Linked DNA regions of Arabidopsis thaliana. The protein of the gene in region 3 interacts with the protein of the main gene of each other region in a pairwise test. Each region holds a gene or a part of one and is shown on either strand. Other genes may lie near its edges.

What was found. Proteins that work in one complex are often made in the same cells at the same time.
Region 1: the proteins of RVE1 (region 3) and BBX26 interact in a two-hybrid assay, tested with the Arabidopsis thaliana proteins (one large-scale study listed by BioGRID).
Region 2: the proteins of RVE1 (region 3) and AT4G14225 interact in a two-hybrid assay, tested with the Arabidopsis thaliana proteins (one large-scale study listed by BioGRID).

Annotation. Positions count from the first base shown.
Region 1 is NC_003070.9:22,216,366-22,219,608, forward strand, and holds BBX26 (B-box zinc finger family protein), read right to left. Parts: upstream 1,468-3,243; coding exon 712-1,467; downstream 1-711.
Region 2 is NC_003075.7:8,196,992-8,199,913, reverse strand, and holds AT4G14225 (A20/AN1-like zinc finger family protein), read right to left. Parts: upstream 1,138-2,922; coding exon 936-1,137; intron 888-935; coding exon 712-887; downstream 1-711. Other genes in the region: AT4G14226 (uncharacterized protein), read left to right, coding at 322-489; RHF1A (RING-H2 group F1A), read right to left, coding at 1,674-1,691, 1,793-2,090, 2,170-2,277, 2,616-2,905. UniProt on the Arabidopsis thaliana protein: May be involved in environmental stress response.
Region 3 is NC_003076.8:5,689,726-5,694,958, forward strand, and holds RVE1 (Homeodomain-like superfamily protein), read right to left. Parts: upstream 3,268-5,233; 5' UTR 3,200-3,267; coding exon of another isoform or gene 2,975-3,199; 5' UTR 2,711-2,974; coding exon 2,678-2,710; intron 2,266-2,677; coding exon 2,167-2,265; intron 2,086-2,166; coding exon 1,974-2,085; exon of another isoform or gene 1,907-1,973; coding exon of another isoform or gene 1,888-1,906; coding exon 1,826-1,887; intron 1,664-1,825; coding exon 1,349-1,663; intron 1,253-1,348; coding exon 710-1,252; 3' UTR 501-709; downstream 1-500. Other genes in the region: autophagy protein Apg5 family, read right to left, coding at 1-96; AT5G17305 (uncharacterized protein), read left to right, coding at 2,975-3,199. UniProt on the Arabidopsis thaliana protein: Morning-phased transcription factor integrating the circadian clock and auxin pathways. Binds to the evening element (EE) of promoters. Does not act within the central clock, but regulates free auxin levels in a time-of-day specific manner.

The DNA of each region.
Region 1 (3,243 bases), on a different chromosome or scaffold from region 3:
AAATGACTATGTTTTCTCTTATTGAAGAAAATAGTCAGAAATAAAATATTAATAAAAATTATTTATTATACAAGCATATTTTCTTGCAGAACATCATGTAACTTTTTTTAACACAAAAAAGGTCATGTAAATTTTATTTGTACTATTTTTTGTCGTCATACTAATCAAAATCTTCTACTCTGCTTACTAATTGTGAGATATTCACGTAAAGTACAACAACAACATCAAAAATCAAGATAATTAGACGATTTTATTGAGAAAATCACATCCCCGGAAATATTGGAGTTGGTTCTTGACTTTCTTAAATAAAATTAAAATCGCAAAGTGAAATTTAATTTTATTGTTGAAAAAAAAATATTATTTAATTCCTATAAACCCCTTAAGCATCGATTGTTAATCAAATTAATTTGTGTTCTTAACATTTTAGCAAAATTGTTTTATGTTTTTTCGGTAATTGTGGTTTCTAGATAGTTTCTAGTTAAATGATGAGATATACATACATCAAGATATGATATCTTCCATCCTCGAACAAATTGGAGTTAGTTTTGACATTTTATTTTCTTCTAACATATTAAATCCAACTGATTGTTTTTTTTTTCTTCTTCTTTTCTTTTTCAAATCCAGAAGCAATTATAACACCAAGAATTAAACCCCTAACGAAAACTCTAAGAAACACACATAAATAAAAAGCTAAAGAAGACGATTTTCTATTCACCTACCAAACCAAGAAAAATCATCAACATCATCTAGATAATCATAATTAATATCTTGTTGAGGTAGTTCTGTTGGGGGCGTAACTGGAATCCCCTCTGCCGCAGGAGGATGAACCGGTGGGAAATTAAACTGATAGCCGCCAATGAGAAAACGGCGAGAAGGTCTCTTGCAGATTACGCAAAGCTTACACCTCGAATGCGGCGGCACCGCGTCCTCGTGACTGTGAATCATCCGGTCGCAACTATCGCATAGAATCTGGTTGTGTGTAGGACAATAAACAACAGCATTTGAATTCGAAGCTACGCATAACTCACATCTCATTGCAAACATCCATCTCTCGCAATTGTTATCCCCGTGGCAGCTCCTCTCAAACATCTCTGCTCTTCTTTGGTGACCACCCACATGCTGCTGCTGATGATTATTGTTATTGTTATGGTGAACCACATGAGGCATATGTGCATGATCATGGTGTTGATTATTCATGTTAGCGAAGACGACTTGAGTTTGATGGCCATTAGTGGCACAATTGTAATGGTGCGAATAACATGATTGACAAAGAACCATCCCGTCCTCATAACAGAAAAGTATAGACGGATACATCGAGCAGTTATCGCAAAGTTGGTAACGTACGTGTTCTGCATGTATGTTATTATGATGGCGAAGGTTGTCACATGTAAGGCAGAAGTTAAGAGCTTCTGTAACACAATGGATCACGGCTGTTACATGTCTACATGTGTGACAAACTTGAGCCATGTTTCCTGAAAAATATTCATATAAGATTATAACAAAATTATCAACTTCGCAAAACGGAAGAGAAGAAACACGAATTTAAAATAAAAAAAAACATTCAACTTACACGAACCAAGGAGAGAAGGAAGCCAAAGTTTTGTTTTCTCTGTGAAACAATCTGTGAAGCTCGTATTTAGATGGAGTTTCTAATTTGTAGATTTTTTTTTAACAAACTGATTATGTAGAAGGATATATTTTACTAAGTTATATACTTATCTTTAACTATAAATTATTCTCAAAATTCAACATTACATTTATTAATTGAGAATAAGAAAGAAAAAAGATAATTATATGATATTTGAAAAATTGATCCTTGTTTCTCATTTTTTTGTTAAGAATAAAGTTTTTTTTTTTCCTTTTATCGGATCTTAAAGATCAGTAAGAATAATGTCGTTTCTTAAATTTTGATGTAGAAATCTTTTTTTTTTGAAGAAAAAAATATCCCAACTTTATCAACATAACCAAACGGGGGACAAACAGGTAAATTAATGAGTTTTTTTTTTTTGTATAACTATTTTGCTTTAGAGTTTAGATTGTTAGCTTAGTACTTACATACTTAAGTTTCTGATCAGTCTTTGTTATGATTTTCACATGTAGGTAGGAAGCTGCGCTTTTGTTCTTTTTAATGTGGAAATGCAGCCTTAACAATGGATGGTATATGAATTTGAAGCTGCTCTTTTGTGTCTCTTTTTTGATGCGGATTAGCATGCTTTTGTGTAAAAAACAACTTTGCTAAGAGTTACTAACTATTCAAGTGTTTGTATGGTTCTGTAATATGGTTTTTTGATACAATGCTAGCTTGAACTTGATGTCATGCTTAGGCCTGGGTACGAATTTCTTTTTAGCATTTAAAAACGGGCAATTCTTGTATTCAGCATCTGTGATTTCTCATTATTTTGTCGTGTAAAGTTACTAAACTAGTTTAATTTAGAATTTATAGAAAAAAAGAAGTGGCTCTCATGACAAGTAGTCTAAATTCAGTAGAACATAAGAGTTATTTCATCACAGTACTAAGAGGAAGAAGAGAAGTTGCTCTGCAATTCCTTGATGCCTTTGGAATCAAGAAAAGAAGTTTTGCCCTTGAGAAAATCAGAGTACCAATGAGCAGAGAGTCTAGGAGATCTCTTGCGATGTGGATCACTGAAATTTACAGAGTACAATCCATAACCATAATCGTACCGCCCTATAAGCTCGAATAAATCCATAAATGACCATACAAAATAGCCTCTAGTGTCTGATCCATTCCTACACGTAGCAATGTCCTTTTCCTTAATTACACGAACAAGATAAGAGAAGAAAAGATGCAATAAAAAAACTTTACTTACCTTATGGATTTGAGCACACCACCAATGTAAGCATTCATGTATTCCACCCTATGTGTATCCTTGTGTTGCGTCATCGGTGTACCTGTTTGTATATGACATTTTAAGTCCAAATCAAAAACATGAGGGAGAGACGAATAAATTAATCATAGAAGAGATTGACCATTCTCAAGAATGTAGACAGGAGGATTGTCATAGCTCTGCTTTATATACTCTAGGACAGCTTCCATAGTCCACGGAGCAACAGGATACTTGTCCAAACAAAAACAAAACAAACAATGAAAGATAGATTAGTAGCACTTATTTGTTTAAAGACTTATAATGTCAAGGAATATAAGGTGTTTTGTATCTGAATTTGGTAGCCTTAAAACTCTTACCTCTATAACTGAAAAATTCCCAAGGTCTTCTAACCAGTAAA
Region 2 (2,922 bases), on a different chromosome or scaffold from region 3:
CTGAGATGCTATGCTCGCCAAGGAAGACTTCCTATTTTCTCTTCTCATTTCACCTCTTCTTTCCTACTTTACTCTCCATACTCTCCAAATCAACGTGAGACACAATCGTGTGGTTTTTTCTTTGAGTCTGTCATTTGCATTTAGAACAAATGATGATTACAATTTTTTGTTATAAAAAGAGATAAACGTTTGCAAAAATATTTCATCTAAAAAAAAGGTGCCTAGGTCTACTTAATCATAATTCTACTTCTACATTAACGTCATTGCTTTATCTAAATTTCAGCACTGAATCCATGCACTAGGATCGGGTCAACAAGGTCCATGAACTTCATTATGTGTAAGAATCCAGAAGCTGAGAACCCTGAAGTTTCTCTGGACACAACCCGGAAGATTAGTGGAAAGTGGAGGGCGTGGATGAACAACTCTTTGGCCTTAATGCTTCCATTACTCAAACAAATTTCCCATGGACAATCAGCAACAATCGACTAAATCTTGTTTGTTTTATAGATATGTTCGCTCAACGTCAAGTTTTAACGAATATTTCGAACGAGTAATCACTAGAAAAATAAATATTCTAGTTTCAAACTAACAATTTGTCGTTCTCACTAATCGAACACAATGTAATTAAGTTATAAGAACTAAATTATTTTATTTAATACCAATGGCAGAGAAAAAAAAGTTAAGAAAAAAACACAAGCATCGAAGGGTTGACTAAAGTCTGAAGAGCTTATCACCCTTGACGACAGGGTTTTGTTTTGCTAAGACGTCAATGGCGGCAGATTTATAATCCGATGGACATGAATGCTCTTCCGGGTAACGGTGAGACGCGAAGAATAAGTGGCCACATCTACAGTGAAACCCTAGCAACCCCACCTTCTTCTTGCACGCTTTGCATCTACTACTACTCTTCTTATAATCTTATCCTTCTTCTTCACCACAACCGCCTTTACTACCGAGTACCGTCGCCTCTTGCGCCGTGACCTCTTCAGCGGCTTTCGTGTTGACGTTGAAAGTGGCCAAGTATCTGGCAGACTCGTCCTTTAAGAAATCGTTGTAGCACTTAGAACAGAGGTTCTTCGTCTGTGACGTGCTGAAGAAGCCACACCCCCTAATGCATAAAGAAGGTTCTCCCGTCATTGTCTTCTTGTTTTGGTACAATCGTGTTATGTTTGCAACGTTTTGTGTACTTTGGCTTGGCCTTCTTATTTGTTTTTGCTCTTCACCATCTAATCTTATGTCTCAAAACTTTGTATGACTTGAGTTTTTATAGAGCTGTTGAAAGCCTTCCTCTGCCAGTATTCAGGTATTTTATGTCATATATAAATTAGGTTTTTATCTTCAAAATTCCTATTTTATTTATGGACTTGTCTATAAATAGATTCATAGTGCAATATTGATTAGGACTGATCCAATTCTTAGTGAAAAAACATAAAACATTATCCTTTGAAATTAATAAATATTATAGTTTTGGCTCCGTCAAAATCGAGTAATAAAATTATTACTCAGTTGCTTATTTTAGCCATCTAAAAGTACGCATCGCAAAGGTAACAGAGAGACGAGAGACGAGACCGTGAGCTCTGAACAATGCAGGATGCGAAGACCAACGGGTAAGTTGATTCAATGGAAACGTACATCGCTTGCATTAAAGGCCTCTCTCCATTTTTCTGATTGCCTCAGCACGTTTCTCCTCCCTGAGATGAATTCAACGATTCTCATTAGCAAAACCCATAAAAAGCTTTATGTTTTAAAGATACAAATGTTAGAAGACAAGAAACCGGGAGAAGTCTGAAACCTGCAGCTTTTGGGGTTCGGTTTTGTCTCCATTGTTGTTAGACTTAGAATTGGCTTCTACACGTTTCCCTTTGAATGAGAAATTGAATCCAGAAGCAGTAGCAGTGGAGGTTGATACATGAGCAGACCCTCCAAAACGTTTTGAAGAAAAATCCATGCGTTCGATCATTCGTGCAACACCAGCTATTCCTGCATTCATCTCACGTTGCACTCCTTTGCTCAATTCTTTCACTGAGTTATTGCGAGCAAGTAGCTTCTCTTTAAGACCTTGTTTACTTTTAGAGATCGATTCCTTGTACCTGGAGGCATGCATGTATGTCCCAGTCAGTTTTTATAACCAATTTCTGAACAAATGAAGAGGAATTGAGATAGCCATACTTTGCAGAAGCAGCAGCTAGTTTCGATTTAATGGCTTCCGGAAGCGAGGATGCTTCAGGTGATTTTGGACTTTGAGATGAACGAGATGGAGAAGGGCCAGGAGAGATTCTGATGACAGATACAAGAAAAGATGAAGATATATTACATATGGTTTAGGTAAGTTCTAAACAATTTAAAGGCTTGACCAATTCTCCAAGAAGTAGCTGCATAATAAAGAGACATGGTCTAGAATTCCAGAGCCATCTAAATTATTTATCAGTAGACGATAATCCCAGTAACTAAGCGAAACAGGAAGTATAAGAGCATCTGCATTGTGCAGCTCAAGCAAATGGAAACCATACAAATCATGAAAGCTGGTTATAGAGACAGCACAAGCAAATGGAAAGCGAATAAATCATGAAAGCTCGTTATCAATAAACCAGACTTGATTATGTGTATGTCAATACCTGGATCCGTTATTGCTATCTGCAGGAATGGAAGAATGACCAGAGACGGGAGATGGAGTCATTGAGCCAGGACTTGGACAAGGGTTTGAGTTTTGATGTTCAACATGGGAAATAGCAGAGAGACGATAAAGATTGACCAAATCAGTAGGATGAATCGTAGTGGGATCGCTGGACGAAACAAGACTAGAGGATATTTGACCATCCCTTCTGCGAAGCAAACAACGTCTATGTGCAGCTTCAGTAAGATGCCTCAAGAATTGTTCATCAAAGCTGCTAAACTGTGATTCCTCCTGGAAACATTATCAAG
Region 3 (5,233 bases):
AGGAGGAGCAGGGTGAGAAGCGACGTCGGATTTGTGGAGATGAATCTGCAGAGGAATTGCTCCTTCCCATACATACTTGACCGCTTCCTTCGCCATTCTCTTCCCCGTCACACCTTCTCACGCTCGCTCGCTTCACAAAAAAAACTCAGCTTTCAAAACGACGCTGTTTCTGTATGACGTCATCTTCTCTTGCGTCTTTATGTGGTATTAATAAGGCGTACGTTAGACACTGCTTAATCTGTTGGTGGCTAACGTGAAAGGGTGTTAACCGGTCTAATTTGGTCTGGTCAAATTCTATCAAAATTTCAGGTTAGAGTTGGTTTCCGAATCGGTTCGGTTATTTGTTGGGTTTGAACTTTGAACACACACTTGTTCAGTTGGTGGTAACCTCACTGTTTTTCTTCTTTGCCTTCATTTCAAAGCAAACTCTTTACCAAACCTAATTTAATCGGAGATATTGAAGAGAGACACCTGAAACTTGCTTTTGTTGAACCATCAATTAAGAAAGATCTCATAATCATTAGATTTAACTGTATAAATTGTACACGAGTTTTACAGTTACAAACTTTTGCAGAAAATTTTAGCCTAGAGAACAAACACCTCAAGAGAAAACAATGAAACAACAACAAAAATTACATTGATGAAAACTTAGAAAGTCGAATGAATAGTAAATTTAAAGTCTCTTCTTTAGGGTACGTAAGAAAATGTGTTATAAGTGGAGATGAATCTCATGCTCTTCTTCTTCTGTTACCATCTTTCTCTTCTTGTATGGACCAAATCCTCTTGAATTTGACTCGGAGTTTGTTCTTCTGAGCTCAGAAAATGCAGACCTCTCACTTGGTTTAAACTCCCATTGACATAGCATTGTTTCGGGTTCTGTGGTCTTTTCCGTGTGTCCCGTATCATCCACCGAACCAGTGTTTGATCCAGTCGATGATCCTTCGTTTTGGACAGCCTTTCCTGAATCCAAACATCTATTTTCCACATCTTCTTGCTTAAGAGGGACTTGTATCCAGCAGCTCAAGAGTTCTTCTTGTGAGTTTCTTATTATGGGTAGTGTCTTGGATGATGAGAGTTTCCGTGGTAATGGCTGAATTGGGGATTTACAATATGTTGAAGTTGTTAGAGAAGAGGACATGCCTGAATCAGATACCAAAACTGTCTTCCCAAAGAGTTTAAGACTTTGCTTCGTTGGTTCCTTGATCGAGCTCTCCCTGTTTAAGAGTCTCTCACTAGGAAACAACTCCAGCTTCTGTACAAATTGATTAAACCAAGAATATTAAGCATTAAGCATCTAACAGCAGGTATTGCTGTTAAGTATAAATTCGGTTTTGTTTATGTCAAGTACCAGAGTCTCAAGCTCTTCAGGTGCATTTGCAGTGGTTGTAAGAGCAGCTGGTGGTGATGCAGAAGAAACTGGGGACAAGCTTCGATTGGGTGAACTCGAATCAAGGGAACACAATGCTTCTGATCCAACAGTGGACAACACAGAGGTTGGAGATTGAGTATCACGTTCTGAGGGAGAAACCGATCTACTTGTTTGATCTGCCTCGTTCCCAAACTTACGAGGGTACGGATGCGCTGGCTTTCTCTTGGGACGAGGAGGAGGTATTACAATCGGCTCTACTGAGCTCCCATCACCTCCAGTTGCTTCTCGAGCAACCTGTGTGAATACAACAGAACAAAGCCAAGTCAGAACACAAGTCTCCAAACAATGTATGTATAATGATTCCTTATTTATGCAGAACTTAGGTTTGCTACAGAGATTAGACTGATACTTTCTTTGAACAAGGGTAAAGATATAATAGCAAATAAGTGTATAAACCTTAGAGAAAAACTTCTGAGCATGGCTTCGAATCTGAACTGCGGTCTTTGAGCCCACATGTTCTGTTAGTGAAACAAACATATATTTTTGAGGGTCCAGGTAAGGCCATAACTCAGTAGCAAGAGATATTACTAAATCATTAATTTACCTTCTATTCGTCTCCAAGCTCGCCCGTATAATTTCAAGGCTTCAACAAACTTCTTGTGCTCTTCATCTGTCCATCTCTCTCTCTCTTTTGTTATCGTGTATGGCTTCCGTACCTAAGTAAGAAAAGATGAACTGAGCCACAGATCTTCACTTTACATAACAATATTTGACATTTGATGTTAAAAGAAACAAACCTTGGGTGCATAGTCATTTCCCCCAAAACTTTGGTCATTGAATTGTATCTGCTTGTCTGCAGTTTCTTCATCTCTATTCCTCAAAGAAGCGTTGGTACCCTAAAGCCATCATCAAGCAAAACGACTTTAGGAAACATCATTTTAAGGACTATGACACAAAGTGGCATTGGATTATTTACTTTCTTCTTCAGTTTCTCAATGAACATTCATTCACAAAGTCCAACTAATTAAACTCGATTTACATATCCTAATCACAAAATTCCAACACAGTCGATTCCATCTCAAGGATTCAAATGAATGTAGTTGCAACACACAAATCTAGAGAGAACTTATAGCTCAAAAGAAACAAGAGTCTGCAAATGAATTGCAACGAACTTGCTTTAACTCTAAGCTTTATTACTTAAATGTCCGTATACAGTATTTTAAACTCATAGATTCATTTGAGACCAGACCTGAATAAAGCAGAAACAAAACAAAAAAAGTGGATAAAAATCAAATTTTGAGACCAGACCTGAACATTTGCAGTCAACGGAGACGACGCCATAACTTCCCGGATTAAGATCTCGGCGGAGGAAAACAAAAAAAAACTCGAAAGGTGTGGAACACAGAAAAGGAAACACCAAGATAAATTCGCGAATCTAGACTTGAAAAAATCAGCTTAATTTCCTCTGTTCTCCGTCTGTTTCTATAGATCCCATAAATTGATTCGGTTTACTTAGGCAACAACAAACGATTTGCTTCTGAAATCAGAACCAATCTAAGCTTCCACCTTCCGGAAAAAAAACTTCCAGCAAACCAGAGATTTCTTATGTTCGATAAAGGAAAAGAGAAAAAAACTCTCGCTGGAAATCTTGCCGCAAATAAGGATAAGAAGAAGGTCGGAAATGAAACTCTCAGAGAAACTCCGAGAAGTTTTGGTAGCCGGAGTAAAGAAAAAGACAAGCTTTCTGATTCGGCGGAAGAAGAAGAAAACAGAGAGAAAGAAGAAGAAGAGAAGAGTTTGGGGTCTGTGAAGGAGGAAGAAGGGAATTAGGGGGGTGAGAAAATAGGGAAGACAAAAAGGAGGGTGATGCCACGTCAGCTTCTGCTATGTGCGCTTTTTCCCAATTTTTAAAAAATAAAAATAATAATTCTTATTGGTTTTCCATGGAACGCTCGAGAAACAGATGGAAAATCTTGTGGCTCACGTTCAATGTCCATCTTTGCCACGTGTCGCTCTTTCTCATATTCTTCATCTTCTTTTTTTGCAACAAAATTTGTACTAGATTTATTCATTTATCTCTTTGAAAAATCAAATATTTAATTTTTTAAAATGAATCTACTTGTTTTAAAACAGTTAGATTTGGTACTTCGATTATCACTGTATGTATTTATTTAATTCCCCTACTTTTCCTTTCCTTTTTTGACATCATTTCAATTGGATAATCTTTTAATATAAAATATCAGGAAATATAATATTTATGTAACAAAAAAGATTTTGCTGGACGGAGAAATGTGAGCCACCAGAAGATACTTTTAAAGGAAAATATGGAAAGGCGTACTCTCGAGAGTATGACTTCTTAGCTTACTCGCTTTTCATTGGTTCCACTACATGAGATAAAAATGTAAATTTGCGGGATAAATTCATTTTCTTTTCTTAACTATATCTCTATTGATCCATATATGGGTGGACATATTCCAAAATTTATGATTGGTTCTTTGGATCCGGATCCATAGGATTTGTTTGCGGAACCATCCAAATCCATATCTATCAAAAATACTTCAAAATAATTAAAACAGTAATATATAAAACTATAATAAATAAAAAGTTAAAAATATATTTTGATTTATTTACATAAACTCTTTATGAAAATATTTATTAGGGTATTTTAAAAAGCTACATATGAAAACATATCCGAAGTGGATATCTTAATCAAAATCAAATTATTCGAATTCGAAAACTCTTAACATTTTATTTTTGGACCAGATCAGAAGATTTTATTATACACTTTGTCCAATCTTAGAAAACATAGTCTATCCATTTTTTATTTTGTGGGGTTCTACTCTTTTTTCTCCATTCTTCCATATATGAACACAATATTTGATAGTAAATTTATATATAAATTATAACCATCATAATATCTAAATTCAGATTTTAAAAAAGATTTCTGTCTAAACACATTTTTGCAGGACACTAAAATGGTTTATTTTATGAAATGAGATCCACAAAATGGGTTATTCAAATTTGGACTGATATTAAGATTTGTTGATGATGCTTCTATACTAGCAATAGCAAGCCTCATACAAATGCAATTGATAACGTATCCTACCATGATTCCGATATACATATAAAATTTGGACCTCTAAATTTTCCTATATTCTTTTTCATGTCAAACTTATATGTTTAGTTGGGAAAAATATTGCACAGAATTTTACATAGTTGAAATGGTTTTGAATCACAATCTAAATAAATGAAATTCCAAAATCAAGTGAAAGTAGAATGAGATACTATTTTTGGTTCTTTTTCGTTTTGTCGTTGTCTTTGTTTCATATTTTACGAAAAAACGAAAACCATAAGTTAAATATCTTCTGCCTCTATATAAAAACATGGTGGGGGTCTATCCATAACGTAAGTCTACGTATACATACCATATAATATAATATATACAGATACGAATCTATCTATGATATTTATAATTAGTTTCAACTTTCTCGAATTAATATGATTATCCATCGTCCAGGTCGTCATCAATTTTCACAAATGTGTAGATATTTTATTGAAATCATTGTTAAGCACATAATTTAATATACTCCTCAAATTGTAAAAGTCATCCTCGGTGGAAGTGAAAGTAATTACACTTTAATTTATAATATAGTACTAATACTAATAATTAGTGAATGTCAGTGCACTTTTCTCCATGTCACTGATTCTTATTTTAGCCGTCTGTTCTACAGAAACTTGACATGTGGAATGACGAGAAGGAGGGTTCTAGCCACTAGTTTTCTTTTTATTTGTTTCTTATTCATTTTATTCACGTTCACTGATAATACAACAAAATTTCTCAGCCACAAGAATTCCTTCTCGTTC